Kluyveromyces lactis: one gene and its partners. The protein of the gene in region 3 interacts with the protein of the main gene of each other region in a pairwise test. Links are inferred from orthologs where the notes say so. Each region holds a gene or a part of one and is shown on either strand. Other genes may lie near its edges. The genes, in order: NOP4, SPB1, NOC2, RRS1, MAK16, MAK21 and DBP10.

The links.
Region 1: the proteins of NOC2 (region 3) and NOP4 interact in binary tests that used the Saccharomyces cerevisiae proteins (3 or more experiments, as listed by UniProt). The link is inferred for Kluyveromyces lactis from reciprocal best matches to the Saccharomyces cerevisiae genes NOC2 and NOP4.
Region 2: the proteins of NOC2 (region 3) and SPB1 interact in binary tests that used the Saccharomyces cerevisiae proteins (3 or more experiments, as listed by UniProt). The link is inferred for Kluyveromyces lactis from reciprocal best matches to the Saccharomyces cerevisiae genes NOC2 and SPB1.
Region 4: the proteins of NOC2 (region 3) and RRS1 interact in binary tests that used the Saccharomyces cerevisiae proteins (3 or more experiments, as listed by UniProt). The link is inferred for Kluyveromyces lactis from reciprocal best matches to the Saccharomyces cerevisiae genes NOC2 and RRS1.
Region 5: the proteins of NOC2 (region 3) and MAK16 interact in binary tests that used the Saccharomyces cerevisiae proteins (3 or more experiments, as listed by UniProt). The link is inferred for Kluyveromyces lactis from reciprocal best matches to the Saccharomyces cerevisiae genes NOC2 and MAK16.
Region 6: the proteins of NOC2 (region 3) and MAK21 interact in binary tests that used the Saccharomyces cerevisiae proteins (3 or more experiments, as listed by UniProt). The link is inferred for Kluyveromyces lactis from reciprocal best matches to the Saccharomyces cerevisiae genes NOC2 and MAK21.
Region 7: the proteins of NOC2 (region 3) and DBP10 interact in binary tests that used the Saccharomyces cerevisiae proteins (3 or more experiments, as listed by UniProt). The link is inferred for Kluyveromyces lactis from reciprocal best matches to the Saccharomyces cerevisiae genes NOC2 and DBP10.

The regions. Positions count from the first base shown.
Region 1 is NC_006040.1:1,003,822-1,007,636, reverse strand, and holds NOP4 (mRNA-binding ribosome biosynthesis protein NOP4), read right to left. Parts: upstream 2,559-3,815; coding exon 501-2,558; downstream 1-500. Other genes in the region: cyclin-dependent serine/threonine protein kinase SSN3, read left to right, coding at 1-397; CHL4 (Chl4p), read left to right, coding at 3,020-3,815. UniProt on the Saccharomyces cerevisiae protein: Required for 60S ribosomal subunit synthesis. Probably involved in the processing of 27S rRNA to produce mature 25S rRNA.
Region 2 is NC_006039.1:51,907-55,987, reverse strand, and holds SPB1 (27S pre-rRNA (guanosine2922-2'-O)-methyltransferase), read right to left. Parts: upstream 2,801-4,081; coding exon 299-2,800; downstream 1-298. Other genes in the region: PBN1 (Pbn1p), read left to right, coding at 1-210; KLLA0_C00715g (uncharacterized protein), read left to right, coding at 3,801-4,081. UniProt on the Saccharomyces cerevisiae protein: Required for proper assembly of pre-ribosomal particles during the biogenesis of the 60S ribosomal subunit. Specifically methylates the guanosine in position 2922 of the 25S rRNA at the stage of 27S pre-rRNA maturation.
Region 3 is NC_006042.1:102,265-106,284, reverse strand, and holds NOC2 (mRNA-binding ribosome synthesis protein NOC2), read left to right. Parts: upstream 1-1,381; coding exon 1,382-3,520; downstream 3,521-4,020. Other genes in the region: GEP3 (Gep3p), read right to left, coding at 1-1,116; MEI5 (Mei5p), read left to right, coding at 3,786-4,020. UniProt on the Saccharomyces cerevisiae protein: Involved in the intranuclear transport of ribosomal precursors.
Region 4 is NC_006038.1:1,139,056-1,141,543, reverse strand, and holds RRS1 (ribosome biogenesis protein RRS1), read left to right. Parts: upstream 1-1,373; coding exon 1,374-1,988; downstream 1,989-2,488. Other genes in the region: FUS2 (Fus2p), read left to right, coding at 1-1,121. UniProt on the Saccharomyces cerevisiae protein: Required for ribosome biogenesis.
Region 5 is NC_006037.1:359,481-362,188, forward strand, and holds MAK16 (ribosome biosynthesis protein MAK16), read right to left. Parts: upstream 1,410-2,708; coding exon 501-1,409; downstream 1-500. Other genes in the region: aminophospholipid-translocating P4-type ATPase DRS2, read right to left, coding at 1-175; mitotic regulator LTE1, read right to left, coding at 1,848-2,708.
Region 6 is NC_006041.1:1,108,069-1,112,286, reverse strand, and holds the start of MAK21 (RNA-binding ribosome biosynthesis protein MAK21), read left to right. Parts: upstream 1-1,418; coding exon 1,419-4,218.
Region 7 is NC_006042.1:2,294,830-2,298,941, forward strand, and holds the start of DBP10 (ATP-dependent RNA helicase DBP10), read right to left. Parts: upstream 2,801-4,112; coding exon 1-2,800. Other genes in the region: SLM3 (tRNA-5-taurinomethyluridine 2-sulfurtransferase), read left to right, coding at 3,395-4,112. UniProt on the Saccharomyces cerevisiae protein: ATP-binding RNA helicase involved in the biogenesis of 60S ribosomal subunits and is required for the normal formation of 25S and 5.8S rRNAs.

The DNA of each region.
Region 1 (3,815 bases), on a different chromosome or scaffold from region 3:
TTTAGACATTCTTTACCGTCTATTGCAGTATGATCCTATCAAGAGAATCGATGCAATCGACGCTTTAGACCATGTCTATTTCACCAACGGCGACCCTCCTGTCTGTGAAAATGTGTTCGAGGGTCTCAACTACAAATACCCACCAAGGCGCATTCACACAAACGATAACGACATTACGAATGTCGGCAATGATAATAATCAAGCTAATCACTCTCAAAAACAACCAATGCATGGTAACAATAATAATAAGAATGGGAACATGAACGGATTAGGTGTAAACAAACGTATCTTGGCAGCAGCAGCGGCAGCTGCCGCTGCAGCTGCTGTGTCTGGTAATGGAAACAACCCCACAAGCAATACTGCAACCGGAGGATCAGCACGGAAAAAGAGAAAATGATTCTATAATTGAAATGCATGTTATTTAATATACAGATTTTATATCCTAGAAACTTCATTGCTTCGGAATGCTTTGAATTTTTGCCTTTGACTATTGTTTACATTCAAGAACGGCCCTTGTTCTTTCTTCTACGTTTAGATCCAATAATCTGTTTAATATTATTACTTAGACCAGATTTTGTTTCCTCTTCTACTGGTTGAGCCACTTTTTCTTCTTCTTTATTCTCTTCATCATCTCTTTTTCTCTTGAAAGATATCAATCTAGATTCTTTGACCTTTTCTCTTCTTCTCTTCACAACGTTAGCGTTTTCGATAGCAAATTCGACCACCAGTCTTCTTTTTTTGAAACTGTCTGCATCAAGCTGTTTCTTTTCATCATCCGTAAGTCCTTCTAAGATTTCGTCCCTACTGACTTCATGAGCATTTAACCATCTTAGACACATTAGCGCAGCTTTATGATCCCTGAATTCAACAAAACCATACCCTCTACTTCTACCACCGCTAGATCCTTTAATTTCCATGATAATTTTAGATTGTCTAACAATACCTTGTTTCTTGTCCTTCTTCTTTTGAGCTTCGATTTCTTCTTCAGACATGAACTTGTACTTTTCCTTAGTAGATCTGACGATTTCTTCTTTATTCAATGCGTGTCTCTTGTTTTCGTTAACTTCTTTGGCGAACTCTACTACAGCTTTACGAGCTAGCGCCTTTAGACCCTTCTCAGTCATTGCTCTTGGAATATTTCTGATAGCCAATCTAGTCATCGAAAGATGTAACGTTGGATTCTTCTTCAATTGTTCGACTCTTAACTTGTAAGATTTTTCTCTGACTTCCATATCAGCAGGAGTTAACAACTGTGAAAGCTTTGAACCTGCAACAATTCTACCTTCATTTAACAAATATAGATTACGTCTGTCCTTTTCACCTGGTGCCTTACCAAGAACTTCTTTTCTCTTCTCGGCATTTCTCTCAAACATTCTTCCAGCAGATTCTCTATCAAGAGTTGGAGAAATTGCAAGAACACGACCCTCATAAACATACTCTGGGGAAACATCATCACTTATTAGAAGGGATGTACTTCCTGTAGCAGGAGCATTATTTAGACAGTCGTTGTAAGCATCTTCGCTTCTGAATGCAACGAAAGCAGTACCCTTCGCCAAACCAGTTTCTTTATCAATCACTGGCAAAGCGTATTTTACTGGGCCGAACACGCCGAAATGACGTTCTAAGGATTCTTGAGTGGCATCGTATGGAACATTACGCACAAAAATAGAGAAATCTTCCTTTCTGTTCTTCTTTACGGTATCCTGTTCTGGTGTTTCCTCCTCTTCGCTGATTTCTTCATCAGAATCCAAGACGATGTCACTTTTTTCTTCTTTTTCTTTGTCGTCCTGATTGTCAGCGTCCTCTTCACCCGAATCAGAACCATCATCCTCATCATCATCATCATCTTCTTCTTCTTCTTCCTCATCTTCATCAGACGCTTCCAGTTCCTTATGTTCGTTCTTATAGTCCTCCCATCTGTTCTTTTGAATTGCAAAATCAACAGCCACTTTCCTGCCATCGATCTTCAAATCCTTAGTGCCTTCTATAGCAGCCTTACAGTTAGAGATCCTGTTCATTGTAACAAAAGCAAACCCACATAATCTACCGTCTCTCTTCCTTGGGATCGTAGCTTCAACAACGGTACCGTACAATCCGAAGATTTTCTTCAGTTTCGTCGGATCACGACAGGACCATGGCATATTTCTGATAATTAATTTCGGTTTACCCTTCATTAAATCATTATCATCTTCGGGTTTGCTTTCCTCCTCATCTTTAACATTATCTACGGAAGGTGCTGATGATACCTCATCCGCATCCTTTTTACCACGGGAACGTTCTCTTCTTTTGGCAATATCGATTCTCAACAAACGTCCCATAAACTTCGTCTTTCTAGCCTGATTCAAAGCAGTCTTAGTATCATCTTCAACTGCAAAACTAACAAAACCAAATCCTCTGCTTGCACCCTCACCATCTTTGACAATAACAGCATGCTTGATAGGAGAGAATTGGGAGAAGAAGTTACCGAATTCTTCATCGGTAGACTCAAACGGCACACCACGAACAAATAACGTCTTCAGATCAAGACCTTCATCCTTAATAACTTTCTTATCACTCATCACAGATATATTAAGCACAAATCTGCGTCGTTTGATGTAGACGCTAACAAAATAAGTATATAAATGTGTTCATTAACCTTCTACTATATATATACTAGATATCAATACTAATGGTTCTTGGGCGATGAGATGAGATGAGCTTTAAAATTTTTTGACAAAAAGAAATCAAGCGGACTGAAAAGCTGTAAGATTTAAAGAGATGAACAGATCACGTGTGGATATTCCTGGCATATACGGCTGTTCAATACCTCTGTTCTCCGATGCAATACAACTTTCCTGGTTCTATGAAGATATTCTGTCAATCTTATACGACAGTTAGACCAATTTAGTTGATTGTTCTCACTTTCTTGTCAGAATCAATACTATATAAAATGCATGGAATTTTAACATCGACTATAATCTGAAACTATGGAAAGGTTTGATGACCCTTAATCCTTATGTTCTTTTTATGATGGTGTTATATGGACGGTGAACAGCATATTATTGGGACGGCCAAGATGGAACGCACGCTTCGAAATGACAATAATAATGTAGATATTACAGTTACAAAGAATAAACTTGCTAGGCTCGGTGCACAGGCAATAGTGAAACTGATCACTACCTGGCTTGATACACATGCCATTAATGATTCACAGCTGGTCTCGGATAATTTAGTTGAATTGGTGAAAAAACATGGGGTACGGAATATTGCTAATATGGCTGTCACGAGTTGGTGGCCTTCTTTATCTCGAGAACAGTTATCACAACTGGATATCTGGTCTGTTTTATGTGACACTTCAACTAACCAATGGGTAGCGTCCAGATGTTTGGATAGAGATGGAAAGCAATTTATCGTAAATGTGGAGCCGAATGAGCTTATCAATGGTATGCGCGAACAGTTTAAACGACTTTACGAATTGGATGTTAACATTGAGGAAAACGATGATTTAAGTATGTACATATGCCGAGTTCAGTTGTTCGAATCAACTGGCGACCTTATTATCAATACACACAAACCGTTCTACTTTGCTATTATGCCGGGACACTCGATTATCTTCCACTCGTTGCAGTCTGATACTCACTCACAACTTATATTACTGGCATTCTCAAAGCTACATTCCAAGACAATCAGGTTGGAAAGAATTAGCAGGAAACCAACCACGTCATTACACGAATTAAACCTTTCTCTAGGGCTGCCGTCTGTAAATACTACAGGGTATGGGATTTGGTCCGTATATTCGGGCAAGGATGCACTAGAGCCATCTCCACTAATAGAAC
Region 2 (4,081 bases), on a different chromosome or scaffold from region 3:
ATTGAACTTACGAAACGGTCACCCTTCTATACTGGAAAAATCGGATATGAACACTTTTTCACTGACAACACCAAATTTTACTATCTAAATTCTACTAAAATGACAATTAACCTTCCGAAACTAGACTCATCTGATAACTTATGTATTCAGCTGTTTACCTTGGGATTGGTGCTCTTTTCTGTTTTGTATTTGATCAGAAAACTTTTTTGAAGTAGGTTGATCTTATTCAATATTCTATCTACGACTAAATATAATGTACAATTCCATTTCACGGATTAAGTGATATGATTAGCATTCCTTATTTTTTGTGATGCTTTTTAGCGATACGTTTCAAAGCCCTTTGTTCGTTCTTTAAAACACCGTCAACCATCTTATATTTACCCTTAACACCCTTAGGCCTGCCGGAAAGACCTCTATTCTTACCACTTGCAACCACAACTGTGACCTTCGGTTTTTGCTTTGCTTTCTTGGTAACCTTTCTCATCAATTTTGCAATTTCTTCAGCCTTGTCCTTTTCAGATTTATCGCTGTCATCATTAATTAGACCAGCCTTCTTCTTCAACTTTTCTAAACGAGCAACAGCACGGTGCTTCTTCCTGGCTTTAGCTTCAGCAACTTTTTTGATGGGTCTGGCATTTAGAGCCTTCAGTTTATCCTTTATTGCCATGGCTGCTTCTTTGGTGATAGGCTTATTAATTTTGGAATGTTGTTTTTCTTCTTCAACGAACCATTCGGGCAGGTTTTCCATATCACGGAAAGAATATCTATTGAAACCCTCTTCGATTAAATCATGTTTCGTTTTGTGACCTAATGCCAATTGATGAGCTAGAGTCATAGCTTCAACGGTCGCAATATCAATGTCTTTGGAATGTTTCTCTTGTTTTGTCCTCTTTGCCTCTTCTTCGGAATCATACTCAGAGTCTACATCGCCATCTTCGTTGTTTGCGACGATTTCGAAATCACTATCTTCGTCGGAAGATTCGGCTTCAGAAATCTGCTCTGCAGGAAGTGGATTCAATTTTCTTTTCTTTGTTAGTTGTTTGACATCACCCACAGACTCTGAATCCGCAAGATCCGCCTTACCAGGTAAATCTGGTTCAACTCCCTCGAATAAAGAATCGGAAAATAGCGCGCGAGCTTTAGAACTTAACTTGCTGCTGTTTTCTCTACTTTTCAATTTTGCTATCAACTGATTGATAGCTTCATCATCGTCAGAGTCTGAAAGATCCGAGTTGTCATCGTCGTCAACATAATCCTTAGTTTCTTCTTCGTTCTCTTCATCACTTTGTTTGTCCTCGAATCCATTCCAGTTGTCCGCTTCACTGGATTCACGGGCTTGCTTAGCTCTAAACTTTGCATCTCTTTCTGACTTGCGTTCCTTATAGTTACTGTACATGGCATCAAGTTGGGATTCTAGTTCATCAGCCTCAGCGAGCTCATCACGATCATCCAGAGGCGCATTTTCATCAATGTGGATATCGTTATCTATGGCTAATTCATTTTGATCAAATATCATTCTTCTCTTACCCTTGGCAAGTTTATCAAGGATACCCGTTTTTTCTGCAGTTTTCAAATTGAAAATTGATTCTCTACCTAACTCTGCAGCTTCGATACCAATGTCTACTGGATTGATCATATTTAATTGCATACGAACAATTTCCTTCTGTTTCATTTCGTTCTTCTTTCTCTTCTCACGCTTAACAGACAACCTTTGTTTCTCCTGTAGAGTATTTAGTTCTTTTTCAATCTGCTCTTCTTCTGTCAAAGGTGTTTCCTCAATCTCTGGTTTTTCTTCCTCTTCATCCAAGCCTAAAAGTTCTCTAGCTGCTTTTCTCCATTTTAGGATCATCTTGAAATCTTTTCTACCAAGAACCTTTAAATCTTCGATACATGCCAAGAATTCTTTGGTGGTTTGCTTTAATTTCTTCACAATTTTCCAGTCATGATCTTCTTCGTCTACGATGAATTTATTATATTCTCCAAGCATAGTTATTGGGTCTTCTGATTTCATAAAGTCCATAAGACCAGTTTCATGGTATAACAAATAATCACCTTCCTCGTAACCACCTCTTTTTCTGACCTTTTTTTCTGGATTAAAAACCTTGGCTTCCATGTTTTGTGGACCATCTGGTAATTCTTCAAAGACTTCCTTTGGGTCTAATAGCCTTGGATCCAACTTCTTAGGGGCCTTGAAATTTTTGCAGACAACGAAAATTTCCGCAGAAACATTTCTGGAAGCAGGAGGTTTGGTTGCCTCCACCTTTTCGAAGAGCTGTTGAAATACCCAAATTAGCTTGTTGTAATCTTTGGATCTGAAGATCTTCGTTACAAATGTACCACCAACTACTAAATTTTCAACGGCTAATTTTAAGGCTTGCAGTGTTAAATGAGACTGTGTGAAGGCATCTTGAGCCCAACTCAAACCAACATTTGGAGCACCATCGTGTAAAACGGTGTCGGCTTTCCACGTCTTCATGTACCCTCTTAATTTCGATCTACAATCTTCCGTTGTGATATCACTTTGGAAAGTAATAACGTTTGGCATAGTTTTCATCGGAACAATATCGACACCAATAATCAAGGAGTTAACAGGACACAAGTTGGAAGCCACTTGACACCAGGAACCTGGTGCAGCACATAAATCGATAACGACCTTCGACTTCTCCAAAAAATGTCCATACTTTTCATTGATTTGAATGATTTTGAAGGAAGAACGAGCTCTGTAGCCCTTTTCCTTAGCAAGGTAATAGTACTTATCTAAACGACCTTTGGAATTCTTCTTTTGCGTCTTCTTACCCATCTTGGTCTTCTCGGTAATGTATGGTGACCTATTCACTCAAGTCTAAAAGAGAACAGGATATCAGAAAGCAAATAAACAACAGTTGTAACCTGTTCAACGTTCAACTAATCTCTTCTCATCTCATCTCATCTCATCTCATCGCTAGACCAATTTCTCAAATAAAAAATTGTCACTCTTCTCACAAATAATGAAAAATTATCTGAAAAAGAAATAATTTTGGATGCGGTGTTCGGGTTAAGAATGCTCGCGGTACCAGGTATGGAAACACCGGACACTGTACTGGAGGAACTGCCAGCTTTGATGCTATGCACGGTTTCCACTGTTAAAATAACGAGCAGTAAAAAATCTGTTTGGACGTGTTATCATGGATATTGATATTACTGTAACAACACAAGACTTATATAGAGGGCCCTTAGCGTTCCACAGTTTTAAATAAGGAATATGATTTCGGTTTTTTTTCAACCATTAGCACTGCCAACGTTTACAAATAATTATGCAACGCTCTCAGGCTATAAGGGTACCGATGCTTATAATATTTCTGCAAGATTATAGGTATGGGTAGTTACTACTATTGCTACTGCTGATCATACCATAGGCTAAATAAATTTATGACCGCCTCTCGAAATAGAGATGCATTCTATGGCCCTCTCGGTCCATTGGCAGTAACTGCAATCTTATATCCAATTATCACACAACATAATGGTTCCCGCTTATACGTAGGTGTATATATAGCCTAATTCATCCGGGTTCAGTATCACTATATTTGGCCAGAATATCTGCGTATTGTACATTCCAGCCAGTAGAACGATACACGTTACAGACAGAGAAAAAAGGAAGAAGAAAAGCATTCCAAAATAAAACTGCAAAAATCAAAAATCCTTTCAAGTACTTACTTACTTGATTAATTTATGGTTGTATGAGATACTTGTACATAAAGTATTGTTTAATTCAATTGCGCAAGATATCAATCTAGTATCCACTGCGTTGAATACACGGGAAGATGAGTAAGTATTCATTTGAAACGATTCAGTTTAAGGAGACTCCTCCGGCGGAAACTCCTGAACCAGTGAATTCCAAATATGGCGTGAAAACGACAGCATCACCAGCTATTAAGAACGCTCCATTGCCTGCAGAGGGACCTTCTTCCAGACACTTTTCCAATTGGTTATTATTCTCCTTGCTCGGTGGTATTCCTTACTATGTAACAAGGAAAGTTGGGGGAGGTCTCAAAACCTTCTTGTTCTTTGCCGTACTGTTTGCTATCCCAATTTTAATGGCCTT
Region 3 (4,020 bases):
CCTTATGTTATCAAGCGTTTCCTTCTCGATATAATTCGCTAGATCGGATACTTTAGTAGGATCCATTGTATACCCTGGTAAATCGTTCACAACTTTATCTTCTATCAAATAAGTTTGCATGGTTCTGGTAAAGTTGGGAATATGTGATACTCCACCTTCATTGAAGATGGCCCTACGGCGAGTACTTTGTATTTGTTCGTGGCCTTTTGGAGGACCAATAACGTTGCCTCTCTTATCAAGTTGAGCTTGGAAACTTGTTGATTTTTCATGGAGCAAAGAATTAATGAGAGACGTTTTCCCAACGTTAGGATTACCCAATAAATAGCATCTTTTAGCCAAAGCATTTATCACTGATGGAATATTCCAATTTCTTGGGTTAGAGAACAATACTACTTTCTTAACATGTACGCCTATATGACGTCTACAAAATTCCGCAAAAAAAGCACTCCCTTTATGTGGTAGCATTGATGACTTGTATGTGATCTGATCAGCCTTTGAAAGTAGTAAATAGTTTCTATTATTCTTTTCTGCCAGGATAGTTTTGTCTAATGACAAGGGAAAGTCAGACAAAGACACAACGTGGTATACGTTTGCAGCATGCGGCAAAGCGCCCTTTATATCGTTGAAAGAATGAATTGGAAAATCAGATGAGTTGTACCTGTTATGACTTATAGCATCGACACATCTTTTACAAACCAATCTTTTGGGAATAGGTTCTTTATAATCTGGATCGGTGTCTGGATCAAGTAGCCCGATTTCATGTTTTTTTAGCTGAAGTTCTTGTGTGAACATTAAATACTTCAAATCTTCAATGGTGCCAGCATCTTTCCTGACAGCGCGAGGAGGCTTATAGTAGCCTGTCACAGAAGGATTCTTGGATTGCAACTCAACACCACAGCTTTTGCATGATACAAACCGAGTAAACTGCTTAAAAGCTTGGAGCCGTGATTTCATAAAAGGTAATACTACTACTATTTTCTGATGCATATACCTCAGTACTCTTATCAATAACGGCTCAAAACTGTTGCATCTCTCGACATTCTGTTTGCAGTTTGTTGCATCTTTTGTCGATACCTTTCCAAGCATGTCAATTACCATATTACTTGCACTATTCATCGATGTCAAGGCGATGCCATTACCCGGATACAAAAAGAAACGCCATGAAAAGTTTTCCAAATATCCAAACCAAAATTCAATCCGATGAGATGAGATGAGATGAGATGAGATGAGATGCCCCAAGAAGAGATATAGAGAAACTTTAACGCAGCTCTAACAACTTAACCAGTAGTCGCTCTAGATAATCTTCTTGAAATCATATTGTTGATCAAAGGCATAATCTTGGGACCTGTTACCTATTGATAAAGGGATCAAGAATTACACAATGGGTAAAGTTTCAAAAGCTACTAAAAAGTTTCAGACGAAACACTTGAAGCATACGTTGGACCATAGAAAGAAGTTAAAAGATCATTCTAAGAGAACCGCCGGTCGTAGGGGTAATAAGACAGAAGAAGAAAAGAATGCAGCTGCGTTGACCAAAGAAGATCAAAAGTTGAAGAAGTCCGCTAAGGAAGAAGTCTTCAACGACATGAAGGTTGAAGAGTTCTTCGACAATGGGTTCGATATTCCAAAAATGTCAAAGAAAATGGCTAAAGAAACCGAAAAAGCATCAAAGGTGAAAGATAATGATTCAGAGTCTTCTGCCGAAGAAGATGAAGATGTTAAAATGGATATGGAAGATTTGGCAAAGAAGGATCCTGATTTCTACAAATATTTGGCAGAGAACGAACCAGATCTTTTGTCTTTCAAATCTACCAATCCTCTAGATGAAATATCAGATGACGAAGAAGGGCAAGTGGGTGAAGAAGAAGAACTGAAAGAACCTGATTTATCAAAGTCCAAGAAGGAGGAAAAAGATAGCAAAATTGCCGTCGACATAAAGCTCGTAAATAAATGGAAGAAGGATTTAAAAAATAGCCCATCTTTCAAAACTATCAGAAGTGTGGTTTCAGCTTTTAAAGCTGCTGTGAACATGAACAACGAGGAAAATGTAGACGATTACAAGTTCACAGTTCTTGATGAAAAAGCCTTCCACGAGTTAATGTTCGTTGCCCTTGTGGATATGCCAAAAGCCGTCCAAAAATTGACACCTTATAGGGTCAGTAAGAATGAAACCAGAACTCTCCCATCAAATAAAAATGTTACAAAATTGTCCTCTGTTTTGAAATCGCACGTTCCATCTCTTATCGTTCTCCTAAGTGACATCACAAACACAGACGTCGCTTCAATGATTTTGCATTCTACCTATGAGCTATTACCATACTTTATTTCATTTAGAAGATTACTAAAAGAATTAATTTCTCAAGTCGTCGAAGTTTGGTCCACTACTGGAGACGTTGAAACTCAAATTGCCACATTCGCGTTTTTGAACAATGCCTCTCGTGAATATAAGAAAGCTTTATTAGAAGTTGTATTGAAGTCCACGTATTCTACTTTCATTAAAAGTTGTCGTAAAACTAACATCAGAAACATGCCTCTAATCAATTTCCAAAAGAACTCTGCTGCTGAACTTTTCGGTATTGATGACGTTATAAGTTATCAATCGGGTTTCGAATATATCAGACAACTAGCCATTCACTTGAGAAACAGTATCAATGCCACAACTAAGAGGTCCTCAAAGGTGGACCCATCAAGTGCTTACAAGATTGTATATAACTGGCAGTTCTGTCACTCTTTGGACTTCTGGTCTCGTGTTATATCCATCCAATGTAACCCAGAAAAGGAAAACGGCCACGAATCCCCTCTTAGACAATTGATTTACCCACTAGTCCAAGTTACCATTGGTGTCATTAGATTGATTCCAACAGCACAATTTTTCCCATTGAGATTTTATTTGATCAGATCCTTGATCAGATTATCTCAAAACACTGGTATCTTCATTCCAGTTTACCCATTATTATCTGAGATTCTCTCCTCTACTGCATTCACAAAGAAACCTAGAAAGTCAACGTTACCTGCATTTGACTTTGATCATAACATCAAGTGTACACAAGCATACTTGGGGACAAAAATATACCAAGACGGGCTAGCTGAGCAATTTGTAGATTTGCTAGGTGAGTACTTTGTTCTATACTCCAGAAGCGTTTCATTCCCAGAATTAACAACGCTTGCCGTTATCTCATTACGTCGTTATATCAAGAATTCTGAGAATGTAAAGTTTAACAAGATGTTGCAAAACGTGGTAGATAAAATCAACCAAAACGCTCAATTCATTACAAAGAAGAGATCAGATGTAGACTTCGGACCAAACAACAGAACAGAAGTAGAAAAATTCTTAAATGAAATATCGTGGAAAGATACTCCTCTTGGTTCCTGGGTTGCTATCCAAAATGAGGTTAAGGAAGAAAAGGCCAGACTCTTAAGAGAATCCTTGGAATCTGACGATGATGAAGAAGAAGAAAATATTTCTGACGGAGCCCAAGACATAGTAATGGATGATGCTGAATCTGAAGCAGATGAATAATCAAATGATTGTATGATAAGTTCAAACTTTCTTCAATTTTAAATTCATTGGTAATCCTATGTCTTCGACCATCTTATATTGGATTGCCTCCTTGTCAAAGACATCGGCGGTAAATTTCATGAAAATAGAAATTACATTATGTAAATTATTTTAAACATGTATACTCAACATTACATTCAGAATACAAAGCTCGGGAGTACAATCTGCGGTAGGCATAACTTGACCAAGTGGAATAATTCTTATACCAGTACTCATTACAGGCGTTATGTCGAATGTCATGAATTTTGAAGGTGATAGTGAAACAACCTTAGTTCAAGAGAATGATTCATTTAGTGATATCTTGCCCAAGTTATCTTGCAGAAACCCTGAAGAAAGATCTACGGGTAGTGTGTTACTTTTAAAGGAGATCCGGAGGTTAGAGAACGATCTTGATCGACAAATACGAGATCTTACGAAGAAAGAGTTTGCTTTGAAAAGGGCAGTGAAAATAATGCAAACTT
Region 4 (2,488 bases), on a different chromosome or scaffold from region 3:
TGTTCGAGAACTTATGTTTATTTGGTGACAATTTGCTATCACCAGAACGGTCTGTTCAGATGAATGCGATATCAAAAGAATACATTAGTTATCTAAGGGATCTAAACGATGAACTAAATAATTCCGGACGTGCAAAGGAAAGCATTTTAGGAGAAGAAAATGCGGTGACTCAAGAAAAGGAGAATGACAACATTTCTTCAAAATCTGGATCCCGTGGAGGTTCACAAATTTCCAAATCATCTAGTTTTTATTCAGATATCCCATCATTTACAAGAGTAGAAGAAGAAGTACCACAAGGAGAACCAACAGGCGCGGTCCTCCACAATTCACATTTGAATAGCATCGAAGAAAAAGAAGAATCAAAGTTCAACTCATCGAATTCACTGAAGGACTGCATCAAAGAGTTCAACAACATATATGCCAACCTCCAAAAATGGGATAAAGCTCTGTGCAAGTTGGAATTAGCTAAAGTTTTGGATAGAACTCTGACTATCGCAATCACATGGAAAAATCTAATAGAGTTCGAACCGCCTAATGAAATGTTTCACTCTGGTGATAATGAAAGAACAATATATGGAACATATGTCGAGAAAATCGATAAACAACGTCAACAAGTGATGATCTTACAACTCCAAGATCTCCGCAGGAAAGTTATTAAACCTTTGCAACACCTACTACAACGATTTGCTACCGTGAAGCAAAAGCTGGCAGACAGAAATTCACTGAAGAAAGAGTACATGGCATATCTGCGACAACGCGACACTGAAACCCACGACGCCAAAAAACAAATCCTCGCAAATAGCTTCCAAGATTTACAACATCAACTAGCGGAGTCTTTGCCCATATTCAACGAGTATGCCAGAGAAGCAATCACACTACTCGTGTCTCAGTACACCTTACTGATGATGGAGTACATGCAAATCATATCTGGCGGAGATCAGTTCCTCAACAAAGAATTGGAACTAGTCAATTCGGGACAGCGAGACCTGGGGGATAATTTTGACATTCTCCAGCTGTTCTGCTCTTCTAGGTACTATACGAGGCATGCAATAAGAGAGAACTGGACCTACCACGGTGATCCAAGAGCCAGTAAAGTTGTGAGAAGGTTATTTGAGTTGTGAAATAGATATACATGTTACCCGCACTTTTATTTCTTTTCTGCAATTTTTCACTTAAGAAAAATGCCAAAAAGCTTTACAACTGAGAGATGCCCGATGAGATGAGGTAAAGAAGCGAGAGGTTTGTCTGCTCTACTGTTTGGATACTTCTATATACATTATCTGATTTAAGTCGCCTTGTGTATAAAAGTTCCCTGTTTGATATTACACTCAGCTACTTCAGTTTACGACACACGGAGTATAGAAACCACAAGAATGTCTACAACAAAGTACAGCGAACGCCCAGTAACGGTTGAAAAGGCTATTCCAGTCACATACGATTTGGGTAACCTAGCAGTGTTTGACACAAACGTGTTGGATAGGAACGATTTTGATTCATCCAATGCTGCTCGTGAAAGTAACATAAAAGATTTGACCCGTGATAACGTGCAGTTGTTGATCAACCAGATTCTTTCTCTTCCTATCAGAGCTACCACAGAATCTGCAGGTGGATCCAGTGGACAATCCTCATCTATGACTTTAGTACAGTTACCAGAGCCAACAACAGAGCTACCAAGAGAAAAACCACTACCTAAGCCTAAGGCACCAACTAAATGGGAACAATTTGCTGCCAAGAAGGGTATCAAGCCAAAGGAAAGATCCGGGAAGATGATTTACGACGAGGCAGCTGGTGAATGGGTTCCAAAATGGGGTTACAAAGGTTCCAACAAAGAACTTGACGACCAATGGTTGGTCGAGGTGGACGACAAGGTCCAGGGTACCGAAGACGAGTTGATTGACCCAAGAACTTTGAACAGAGCCGAAAGAAAGAGATTGATAAAGAAGAACCAGTTGCAACAGAAAAGAAACTTGAAGAACCAAGTGAAATAAACGTTACATACTATATAACTGCATTACACACCTTACACTAGGTTACATAAACTGTATAATAGACCAACTTACTCTTTCTCGTATTGACCATTTCACTGCCGTTATCAGGTTCAAAGCCCTCCTACAGCCGGTATTTTTGCGTATACAAAATTTCAACATTATACTTTAAACAAAGTCAGAGCCTCAAAGAATGAGAGAATGAATGGGAATATTATTTGCACAGGGTGCCGGCAGATCACCAGGATCGGAAATGAGTGATCTCAAGAGATATGTTCCTATGATAGATGTACGTTTCCCCCTTTCTTTTTTATCAAGCGAATCGTTTTCGAGCAAGATACTAACTACTTCAAACTATCACATTGATGTGAATATCCATACCAGGCCATCTTAAGCGTGTCAAACCCAGAGGAAGTAAGTGCCAAGAGAATACGGAAAGCGTTACAGGAGTTATTTTCGGTAGATTTGAATTCTCACAAGCATGATTTGAAAGAACTGATCAT
Region 5 (2,708 bases), on a different chromosome or scaffold from region 3:
TGTTCCTTCTTGGACTATCCCGTAAATCCGGGGTGTAGCTATCATCAAGAAAGTCAACATCAAACAACGCATCGCTGTCGCCATGCTTAGTTGAGCCACTCATTGGAAAGCAGGTTGATCGGTGTGTCGCTCCTCTCTGGCTCTGTATCTCCCTTTCAAAGTACTTGGGTTTCATGGTGCAAATGGTTTACGAATCTTTCTGTTTAATGTGTCCTAATGGGATTTTCCGGTATAATTTACAAAGAAAAAACTGTCAGCATGGAAACAATATTTCCACGTGACTGCTATTTCGAATGCATTATTTGGGTACAGTATAACAAAATGAAGGGAAAGGGGACATACTATTGATGGTGAGATGCTATTGTAAGTGTATATAATTATTAACTATTGCCTTTGCTTCTTTATCGTAGTTGGAAATTTATCTTCAATAAATATAATAATATGTCAAATTTAATAGTATACAAATGTGGTCATGACGAGCTCTGTTTTTCAGAAACGCATCATTGTGCAAGTTCTTGTTGGTTGGAATTTAGTTCCTGTTCATATTCGATTTCAACCTTAGGATGTCTCTTTCTGGTTTGTGTAGATTTCTTTTGTCTCTTAGATGGGTTTTCTTCTTCATCGCTATCTTCGTCGCTACTGTCTTCGTCACTGTCCTCATCACTGCTGTAATCAGATGTATCAGAACCACCGAGCCATTTTTCTAAATCTTCCATATCTACCATCTCATCCTCAGCGTCTTCATCTTCTACGAATTCGACTTCTCCCTCATCGCTTTCTTCTTCCTCATCCCAATCGTTTTCTTCTTCATCCAAGTCCTCGTCTTCTACACGTCCCATGACCTTCTTCCAGATCTTTTCATCCACATTCAAAGGCTTATCACCATACACACCACTCTTCAATCTCTCAAGCAATTCTTTTTCGATAGCCTTTTCAATCTTAGCGGCTGATAATGCCTTACGTTCTCGGTTCTCTTCTCTTCTTTTCACCTTAGGAGCAATACCGACATAATGTCTCTCCTCCTCTCTCAATGCCAAACGTCTCTCTGTAATCATCACTTGTGTAAGCTTTGTCATCCTTTGCTTACACTTATGAATTAAGAACTTGTTCCAATACAGTAAATGTTCATCGATCTGTGCTAATGCCTTTGTGTAATTCTTAGATAGTTTCACTCTTTCCCACAATTTAGCAGGCGTGTGAGCTCTTTCCGCGGTCTTCATGTACAAGTAAAGTGTTCCGTCCACGTTCTTTACAGTGGCATATTTACTATTTGCCAAAGGACACGCTTGTCTCGAACATAAACCTGTTACGTTGTATTCATTTCTACAGAAGTTCTGTCCCTTATCAGTTTTGACTTTGTACGCACAAAAGTGCTGGTTGATAACCTGCCAAATGATCTCGTCAGACATCTGCTAATGTTCAGTCAATCCTACAGATACTGGTTTATGCTTAGTATGAGTTTATTTAAATTGGTTATGACTATCGCTAAGTTTACTTGCTATTCCGCTAGTCGCTGCTTCTTTCATTTCATCTCATCTCATCGCATCGCATCGATATTTTTCAGTTCTCAAAAATTTTCAGGCAGAAAGAGAAAAAAGAAATGGATTACTAAATTTTTAGTCACATGACCAATGATATTTTATTGTTATAATCGGAAACTTAATCAAGAGTCGGAATATGCATGATTAGATCTAAAGAGATTAACCTTCATTCAAATATGTTCGAAAAAAATGTGGATGAAACTATTTGAAACTGATAAAATCGTGTGTTGATATATATATTATATGAGGTGAAATGAACTGAGACTAACTAGTTCTATGTCAAATACTTTACTCGACATTAAAGAATTAAATTGGGGATTTATGTGAAATTGAATTGATTTCGTCATGGGACAATGATGTGATGTAAACACACTTGCTTAACAACTCATGGTCAATATCAATGTTGTAAAATTTGGACCATTGCATCTTCTGTACGAAGTTTTTCACTATTTGAACATTTGTTTGGAATTTGTTGTAATTTAGCACTTCGTCATGTACAATCCAGGTACGTTTCTCAATGTTTAAAGATAGATCCGATAAGTATACCACGATAAATGGAATGCATCCAGAAAGTGGTTCGACTTCGTCTATTAATTGTCTAATGTTACTGTAATTCTTTTCCAGGGATGGTATGGCCTTCAACGTTTCCCAAGTCAATAGATCGCCTGGTTCGACAAGTCTCCATGTTTCAGTGAATTTCTGAACGACAATGGAGTTTAATGCAAGGATGATTTCCATCAAAGTATTGTAATTTTGTAACTCTTTACAGTGTTCGGCTATGTGAATGAATCTTTGGATCGTGTTCCTTCTCAACCTTATGTCCTGAGTCATTACGATTTCAGAAATGATCCAATCCACGGTCAAGTTGAACCTTGCTATGGCTAAATCGATACCCGACAAGTTTTCGTTCTGTACCAATAATTGCAGCCAACTGGTAAATTGTGGAAGTTGTTCACTCATTGTCAAATCCAATAGATCTTTCCAATCAACTTCAGATAGAATTTCCTTTTCAATCAAGGTCAATTGGTTTGCCACAGATTTAGAATCATACATCAGAATGAACGGGATATGTTGCTCTAAATTGTCTATTTTAAGCCTTGAATCAGTTAATGTGTACTGGTTTAACAAATTACGAATTTGTTCATCAGTATTTTCCAATCTGGTGCA
Region 6 (4,218 bases), on a different chromosome or scaffold from region 3:
TTTTTTTTGTTCTAATGATAGAAAAAAGCAGCATGAGATTCGAAGTAACTCTTCAATTTTTCATGGCATCGTATGCTCGGTCTCTCGTTCACACACCATCCATCCTTTCACTCCTTTCCCCGGTGTGTGTTTGTCGTCATCTACCTATATTGGATTTATGACTCTGTAATAGAAAAAGGCAAAGAAACGTCACAAAACATCATAGCATCGCTACAGCATTCGATGGAAAATCCAGAATTAGCTTGAACGGACAGCTTAAGAAGCTTTATCTTCCCCGTCAATTGCCATCATTGTTCCCATATCATAAGGATCAGCTTTATCATCTTATTACTTTTATCACGCCATTATTACCATTAGCACTCTATTTTTATTTTCATTTCAGTGAAATGATGATGAAAATCAGAAAAAACACAAAGACAAATGCCATTGCAGTTATTTTTTTATACGTTTCCTTTGTCCATTCATTAGGATACCAATTGTCATTGTCTTACGAATATATAGATATTCTTCGCTATCGCTACTTAGAAAGAAAATCTCGTTTGTCTTATTCAACTTTTGAAATGTACAAGTTTGAGTTATTTTTAGGCAGGTCAATGGGTTCGTATCTATGACCCTAATGTCCCTCTAAAACTACACCTTGTATTTCGAGGTAATCAACTCGACTTGAACCTCTTCTCTTGTATGCACAATGAAAAGAAGAAGAAGTATAGTAGAAGTATTCCTTTACCAAGAGTTGTTCTCAATACGTAACTTACCTTGTTCACCTCGAGCTGGTGCATCTGAAACCATGAGTTTCCAATCAATTCATGCAAATGCACGTCTATTTCTGCCCCAAGAATGTATATGTATGTGTGTCAATGCTTATTGATGCATGCACCATTGGCAACTAATGGCACCATTGGCTTCCACCATGCACGTCGTTTGTGCGGGTAATGGCGAGGTCCCAAAAAACATTCTTTAATTGGGATTGATTCCAGTAAAGAAATTCCAATGCAGAGAGGCGGATACTTGAGGGAAGTACATACATTGTGCAACTTTTGATTCAACTTACTTTCACGCTTTACCTACTCCTGAGCATGTCCATTGGCTCGTAACGCTCTCGGCAAACCATGTGACAAGCAGATTCCCCGCTTCTTGGTCTCACTACTACATAGAATGCTTTTGTAAATACTAAACGAGAGAGACAAACTCATTACCCGGATAATCGTTAATCACGTGATGAAAAGAAACGACAAAAATTTTCTACCTTTACACCAAAATCAAGCTCATCTCATCTCATCTCATCTCATCTCATCTCAACTCTTATTATGCGCTCAGACTGTGTTTGTTGATATACACAGAGGCCACTTCTCTGTTTGTCGTTTGATTGATCTATTGCTTGGAAAGAAGCAACACTCGATAACAAGTGCAAATCTGGAATGAGTCTTGATTTATCCAAATTGAAGGAGAAAGTGTCCTCCAAATTGGGAGCTTCAAAGGCCAAAGACACTAAGCCTAAGAAGAGTAAGAAGCAGGGCGAAAAAGAGACAGACGTTACTCCAGCTAAAGAGGAAACTGCTGTCACCAATGAAGAATTGATCCGTGAAGCTCTGTCTCTTGGAGCCTCTGAAAAAGATGTCCAGCTTGTTGATGGTGTTGACGACGATGCCAGTGAGATTGAATTCAATGAAGCCGATGAAGAAGTTGATGACGAGTTTAAGAGCGATTTCAGTGCTTTATTGAAGAATATGGGATTCGATAAACTACCTGAACCTGAAGTTGTAGAAGAACCAACAGTTACTGAGGATGCAGGCAAAGAAGAGAAAGATATTGAAGAGGAGGAGGTAGAAGTTGAAGAAGAAGAAGAAGAAGAGACGGTAGAGAAAGAGGAGGAACCACTTAGTCCTAAACCAGCAGAAAAAAAAAAGGAAGATCAATCCGACATGATCACTCAAACTCATATTGTTCAAAGTGATAAATTACTTGTTCCATCAGATTTGTTGTGGTACGAAGTTCCTTTGGACCCTGAATTAACAAGAGAACAGGATCCGCTAACGAAAGAACAGATAGATAAGTTATACCAGCGTGGTAAAGAGGCCTTAGAATTAGATAACACTAATTACTACGAAGAATTTACCAAGAACTCATCTCAACGTAAGTTTATGTCCCAGATCTTAAGCGATGGTACGTTGAACGATAAAATTAGTGCTTTGACTTTATTGCTACAGGAATCTCCATTGCATAATATCAAATCTCTTGATTCTTTGATATCCTTTTGCGGGAAGAAGTCAAGAAATTCCGCATTACAAGCTTTGAATGCTCTGAAGGATTTGTTCTTAAATGGTCTGTTACCTGACCGCAAGTTAAAATACTTCAAGAACCAAAACCTTTCCATGCTACTGAATAAGAGAACTTTAGCTATTTTATATTTTGAGGATTACTTGAAGGGTCTATATTTCAAGATTTTGGAAATCTTTGAGAAATTATCCCATGATCCTATCATCTATGTCAGAATGCAAGTGCTAACACATATCTTTGACCTGCTAACAGCCAAACCAGAACAGGAATTCAACTTGTTGAAACTTGGTGTTAACAAATTAGGTGACATTGATAACAAAGTAGCGTCAAAGGCTTCCTTCAAACTTTTGAAACTTGAAACTCAACATCCAAATATGAAATCAATTGTGGTAGACGCTGTTGTCGATATTGCCATAAGGCCTCAAGCTGACTATCATACTACATACTATTCCGCATTGACACTTAATCAAACAATTTTGAAACGCTCCGAGAAGAATCTAGCAAATCAGCTAATCAAGACCTATTTCACTTTATTCGAGAAATTCTTAATCCAAACTGATGCTGATAACGAGGAATCAAAGAGTGAAATCAAGGAATCCGATAAGTCATATGAAAAGAAGAGAAAGAAGAACTTCAAGAAGGGTAAAAAGGGTGGTAAGTCTGTCATTGAAGAAAAAAGTGCTCAAGAAGTTATCGAGGAAAAAAATACCAAATTATTCGGTGCTATTCTAACTGGTTTGAATCGTGCTTTCCCATTCTCTGATATGCCGGGATCCGTGTACGAGATACATCTTGATACATTGTTCAAGATAACACATGCGTCTAATTTCAACACTTCAATTCAAGCATTAGTATTGATTCACCAGGTTGTCGTGAAGACAAACATCACAAGTGATAGATATTACAAGACATTATACGAATCCCTACTCGACCCAAGATTGGTGTCGTCATCGAAGCAAGGTATTTACTTAAACTTGCTTTACAAATCTTTGAAAGATGATAAAGACATTGGAAGAGTGGATGCTTTCGTAAAACGTATATTGCAAGTCTGTGCCCATTGGTTGAACATCGGTGCCATTAGTGGTATGTTCTTTTTGTTGATACAACTTTCAAAGAGTTTACCGCAGATCAGAAATGTTCTAATCAACTCACCACTAGACTCTGTTTACGAATCTGATGACGAAGATTCCAGGGATAAAACTAAGGAAAAACCTGGTTACGATAGCCGTAAACGTGATCCAAAATATGCCAACGCTGAAAATTCATCGCTTTGGGAGATAAATCAATTCTTGTCCCATTTCCATCCTACTGTGCAGTCGTACGCACAAGGGTTCTTCGACGGTGACACTCAAGAAACAAGAGAGTTAGTCAAACCCGATCTTGGCCTATTCACGTTAGCCCATTTCTTGGATAGATTCGTGTACCGTAACGCCAAGCAAAAGCCAACCACTAGAGGTTCATCTATCATGCAACCTTTGGGAGGTGTACACACTGGTTCGTTATTAGTGAAGGCCAGCGATACCACATTGCACGAAGTACCTGCTAACACGGAGAACTGGTTAAGTAAGAAGGTGCAAGATATCAAGCCAGATGAAAAGTTCTTCTATCAATATTTCTCTACAAAGACTAATGCCATCAAATCTACCAAGTCAGGTGCAGAGGATGAAAACGGTACAGCTGAATTCGACGAGGAAAGCGATTTGGACGAAGATGAAATTTGGGATGCTTTAGTGAAGTCAAGACCTGACGTCGAAGGTGACGAAGAGGACAGCGATGTTGAGTTCAGTGAGGACGATTTCTCACAGGATGATTTCGGATCGTCATCCGAAGATGTCGATATTGATCTCAAAGACCTTGCATCTTCGGGAGACGAAGATGAGGCATCAGAAGCTGATCTTGAAGCTGAAGAAGGTGAACCAGAAGACATCAGTGACTTCGATC
Region 7 (4,112 bases), about 2.2 Mb from region 3:
CCTTAACTCTAACACCTCTTTCCAAAGCAGCTTCCACTTTTTTCTTTTGGAAAGCGTAATCGTCTCTATGTTTATCAGGCAATTTAGGAGCTTTTTGAGTCTTGTGTTTGAATTTACCGCCAACCGTACGCTCCGATGGAGAAGTCGGATCAGCCAATAGATTCGATGGAATAGTGGATTCTCTTGCACCAACTTTGAGTGGAGCAATTTTTCTTGCCTTAGACCAATCTTGGAATTTTCCGGATCTGAAACTTGCAGGAATCTTTTGACCACTTTCTCCGATGATGTACTTTTTGTTGTCCAAACCTTGAGTGTTCACATATTTCTTACGCTTCTTGTCCCACTTAACCGTAGCTGTTTGCTTGTGAACTTGTACCTTGTCATCGTTGGCTAGATCAAATGCAGCATTGGAAGCATCATTTGTGAAACCAGATGATATCTGTAATTGTTTATCTTGAATGTCACTAGTTGGTGCGAAATGTGATAGATAAAAAGTTGGATCTCTGAAAGTTTTCTTCTGCTTCTTCTTAATATTTTCTTGCTCTTCTAACAAGACATCGGCATCTTCAAATTCTTTCAATACCTCATCAGGCACTGAGTAACCAACTTCGTTGTCTTCACCTTTCAAAATTTCATCTTCTATACTATGCCTCAAACCAATCATTCTCTCTTTTTCCAGAAGTTCTTGTCTTTCTTTTGCCTTCCTTTGAATTGGAGCTATTTGTCTCCTCCTTCTCTTCATTAACACAGACATTTCATCGTCTGGATTCCTTGCGAACTCGAATACAGTTTCCTTGTTATTTCTGTGTTGCAACTTAGCTAAGAAATCCAATTTCTCTTTTTCGGCGTTCTTACCGAAGTATATATTCTGTTCGTCCCATCCTGATCTGAGAATTTCCTTTGACCTTTTCATGGATTCAGCAGACGCTGGTGTCCTGGTTCTAAAGTAAAGTTTTTCGGCTTTCAGGGCAACACCTTTCACAGTATTTAACTCAAAGTCAGATTTGATCATATTGCTATAAAGGTCACCCATACCATCAATCTCAGAACGTGGACAAGCACCAAGGACCATTCTTGTGGTGTAAGAAACCTTAGGATCGGTGAAATTATTATTACCCTCAGATTCTGCCTTCTTTCTGAGTATCTGGCACGACGATTCATACATGGGTGTTAAAAGGATCTTCTTACCCAAGAATAATTCTAGATCCAAGAGATAAGGTAGTTCATTTTCAGAGACAATCGAAAAGGCCCAACCTCTATTACCAGCTCTGGCCGTTCTACCTACACGATGAATGAAAATTTTTGAAGAACCTGGCAAAGAGTAATTAATCACATTCGCTAACAAAGGAATGTCAACACCTCTGGCTGCCACATCTGTCACAACCAAGATAGATGTTAAACCAGCTCTAAAATTATAGAGCTGTTGCTTACGGGCATGTTGATTCAAAGCACCATAAATATATGATACTAGGTATCCACAGTTCTTCAATAACTGTGTGACGTATTCGACATGATGTCTTGTTGGAACGAAAACGATTGTTGCCTTTTCGGATGGCATTTCGTTCGCATTCGGTAAGCGCCTTTTGGATTTTTTAGCCTTCTTTGCCTTCTTTTTCTTTTCATCTTCGCTGTCATCACTGTCAGAATCCGCATCATTCTGCTGTTTGAGCTTCTTTATTTGGGACTCCGTGGCAACAGGCATCTTGATAGCTTCTTGTAACAGATATAATAGATTGGCTTCACGTTCATCCTTTTTTATAGATATAAATAACATCTCCAAATTTTCTGATATCTTCGTTTCAGCATCAAGTCTAACCAATACTGGGTTTGACAAGCCTGCCTTAGCAAAATCAACCAATGATGATGGCAATGTTGCCGAAAACAATAATGTTTGTCTATTAGTTGGGAATGCCACAAGCAGTTCATTCAGTTGTTCCTGGAAACCCATTTCGAATAATCTATCAGCTTCATCAAATACAACATATTCGACTGATTTCAAATCCAAGTTCATTTCAACTTTTAAATGCAAGAATCTACCTGGCGTAGCAATGACGACGTCAGGATTCCCCATCATCATACCGAATTGGTCTTCTAAAGAGTCACCACCTGTTAACAAAATAGAACGTAAATCCGAGCCTTTCGAAAACTCTTTGAAAACTCTATGAGTTTGAATGGCCAATTCTCTTGATGGTGATAAAATAACGGCTCTAACACCAATCTTGGCCGAATGGGTCTTTAATTTTTCTATCATAGGAAGCACAAAAGCAGCAGTCTTACCTGAACCGGTACGTGCCATACCGACAATATCACGCTTTTGTAAAATAAGGGGAATGGTTTTCCTTTGAATTGGTGTAGGTTGCCTGAAACCTTTCTTCGAGATATTAATCAATACTAGTTTTGAGAGACCGAAACTTGCAAACGAACCTTTCTTATGTTTAGCCGCAGCATCAGCGGTAGTGTTGAAATAATCGTTTAAGTCATCATCCGATTCATTCGTAGCCTTCTTTTCGTCGTCCGAAAGCTCAAGACTTGGGAACTTACTGTCCACAATGGGACCTGCCTTGACTTTGGCTTTCTTGTTTTGTTTCTTTGGTTTCTTCTCTTTCTCTTCCTCATCACTAGAAAACTCGATAACATCTTGAACTTCAGCTTGGAAACCAATATTGTCATTATCATCATCAGAAATGTCACTATCTTCACTATCAGCATTTAAAGCAATATCACCAGCAATGTCGAAAGCATCCTCATCTTCGGAGGAGTAATCTTCTGCTGGGAGAGCTCTTTTGCTAGAATCAACCATTACTGTTAAATTTGATTAACCTGAGTTCGATATCTAACAGTTGATTTATGGCAAACAATGATTGGCCTTATAATCAATACGATATAAAAGAATATTTAGCACTACTGATATTAATGAGTTACTATCTCATCTCATCTCATCTCATCGCATCTCTTATTTGGAAAGTGATGTATTTTCAAAATTTTCATAAGGAAAAAGAAATAGTTTTCAAGACCGGCATAAACAGAATTAAACATCAAACTGACGCTTTGTGTGAAACCAAGAAGATCAAGTGACCTAAAACAAAAACTTCAACATTATGTGTCACGAATATTACCAAACTCAAGTAAATAGAACGTCATACTCTAAAATTTTACTATAACTATTTCAACTTGTTTCCCTGAATTTCGCCTCTGTACATTATCTTGGTTTTTTTTTTTCTATGCAAGCCAATCAATTCAGTATCTGACAAAAAAAAGTACATGAAGATCACAACTATAACTTCTCAAGGTTTACTGAAATAAGTACCAGCTATATCTTGTTAAAGCACCATAAAAGTGTCCCGAAGGAGATGCACCACTTTATATAGCAGACGGACAGAAGTTGCGAGGAATAATGTCGAAAATCACTTCAAGATTCTTAGAATTATGCAAACAAAGACGGTTGCCTGGATATCATGTCCAATCCATGCCATCTAAATTTGATAATATTGTGGTAGGAATGTCTGGTGGAGTAGATTCTTCTGTATGTGCTGCATTATTCGCAGCTTACCCGAACGTTCATGGAGTATATATGCAAAATTGGGGCAAAGATCAATCATTGACTAGACCAGAGGAGGATCCATGTTATGAGAAAGAATGGAAGGATGCAGAAAAAGTAGCGAAACATTTGAACATCCCAGTGGAGTTTGTGAATTTTGAGAAAGATTATTGGCTAAATGTGTTCGCGCCTATGTTAGAACAATATAGTATGGGCTATACACCAAATCCTGACATCGGTTGCAATCAGTTTGTTAAATTCGGAAAGTTGATGGATCATCTGGATGTGAAGTTCGGTAAGAACAACTACTGGTTGGTGATGGGACATTATGCTCGAATACTACGAAGAGATAGTGGTCCAGAGAGATCTGAACCACACTTGATGCGCGGATTGTATCAACAGAAGGATCAAAGTTATTATTTATCACAAGTTTCTGTTCCTTCTTTAAATCAAATGATTTTACCAATTGGTCACTTGACGAAACCGGAAGTTAGAGAGATGGCCAAAGAAGTAGATTTACACACTGCCACAAAACCCGACTCTCAGGGTATATGTTTTGTGAACAACTCACAGC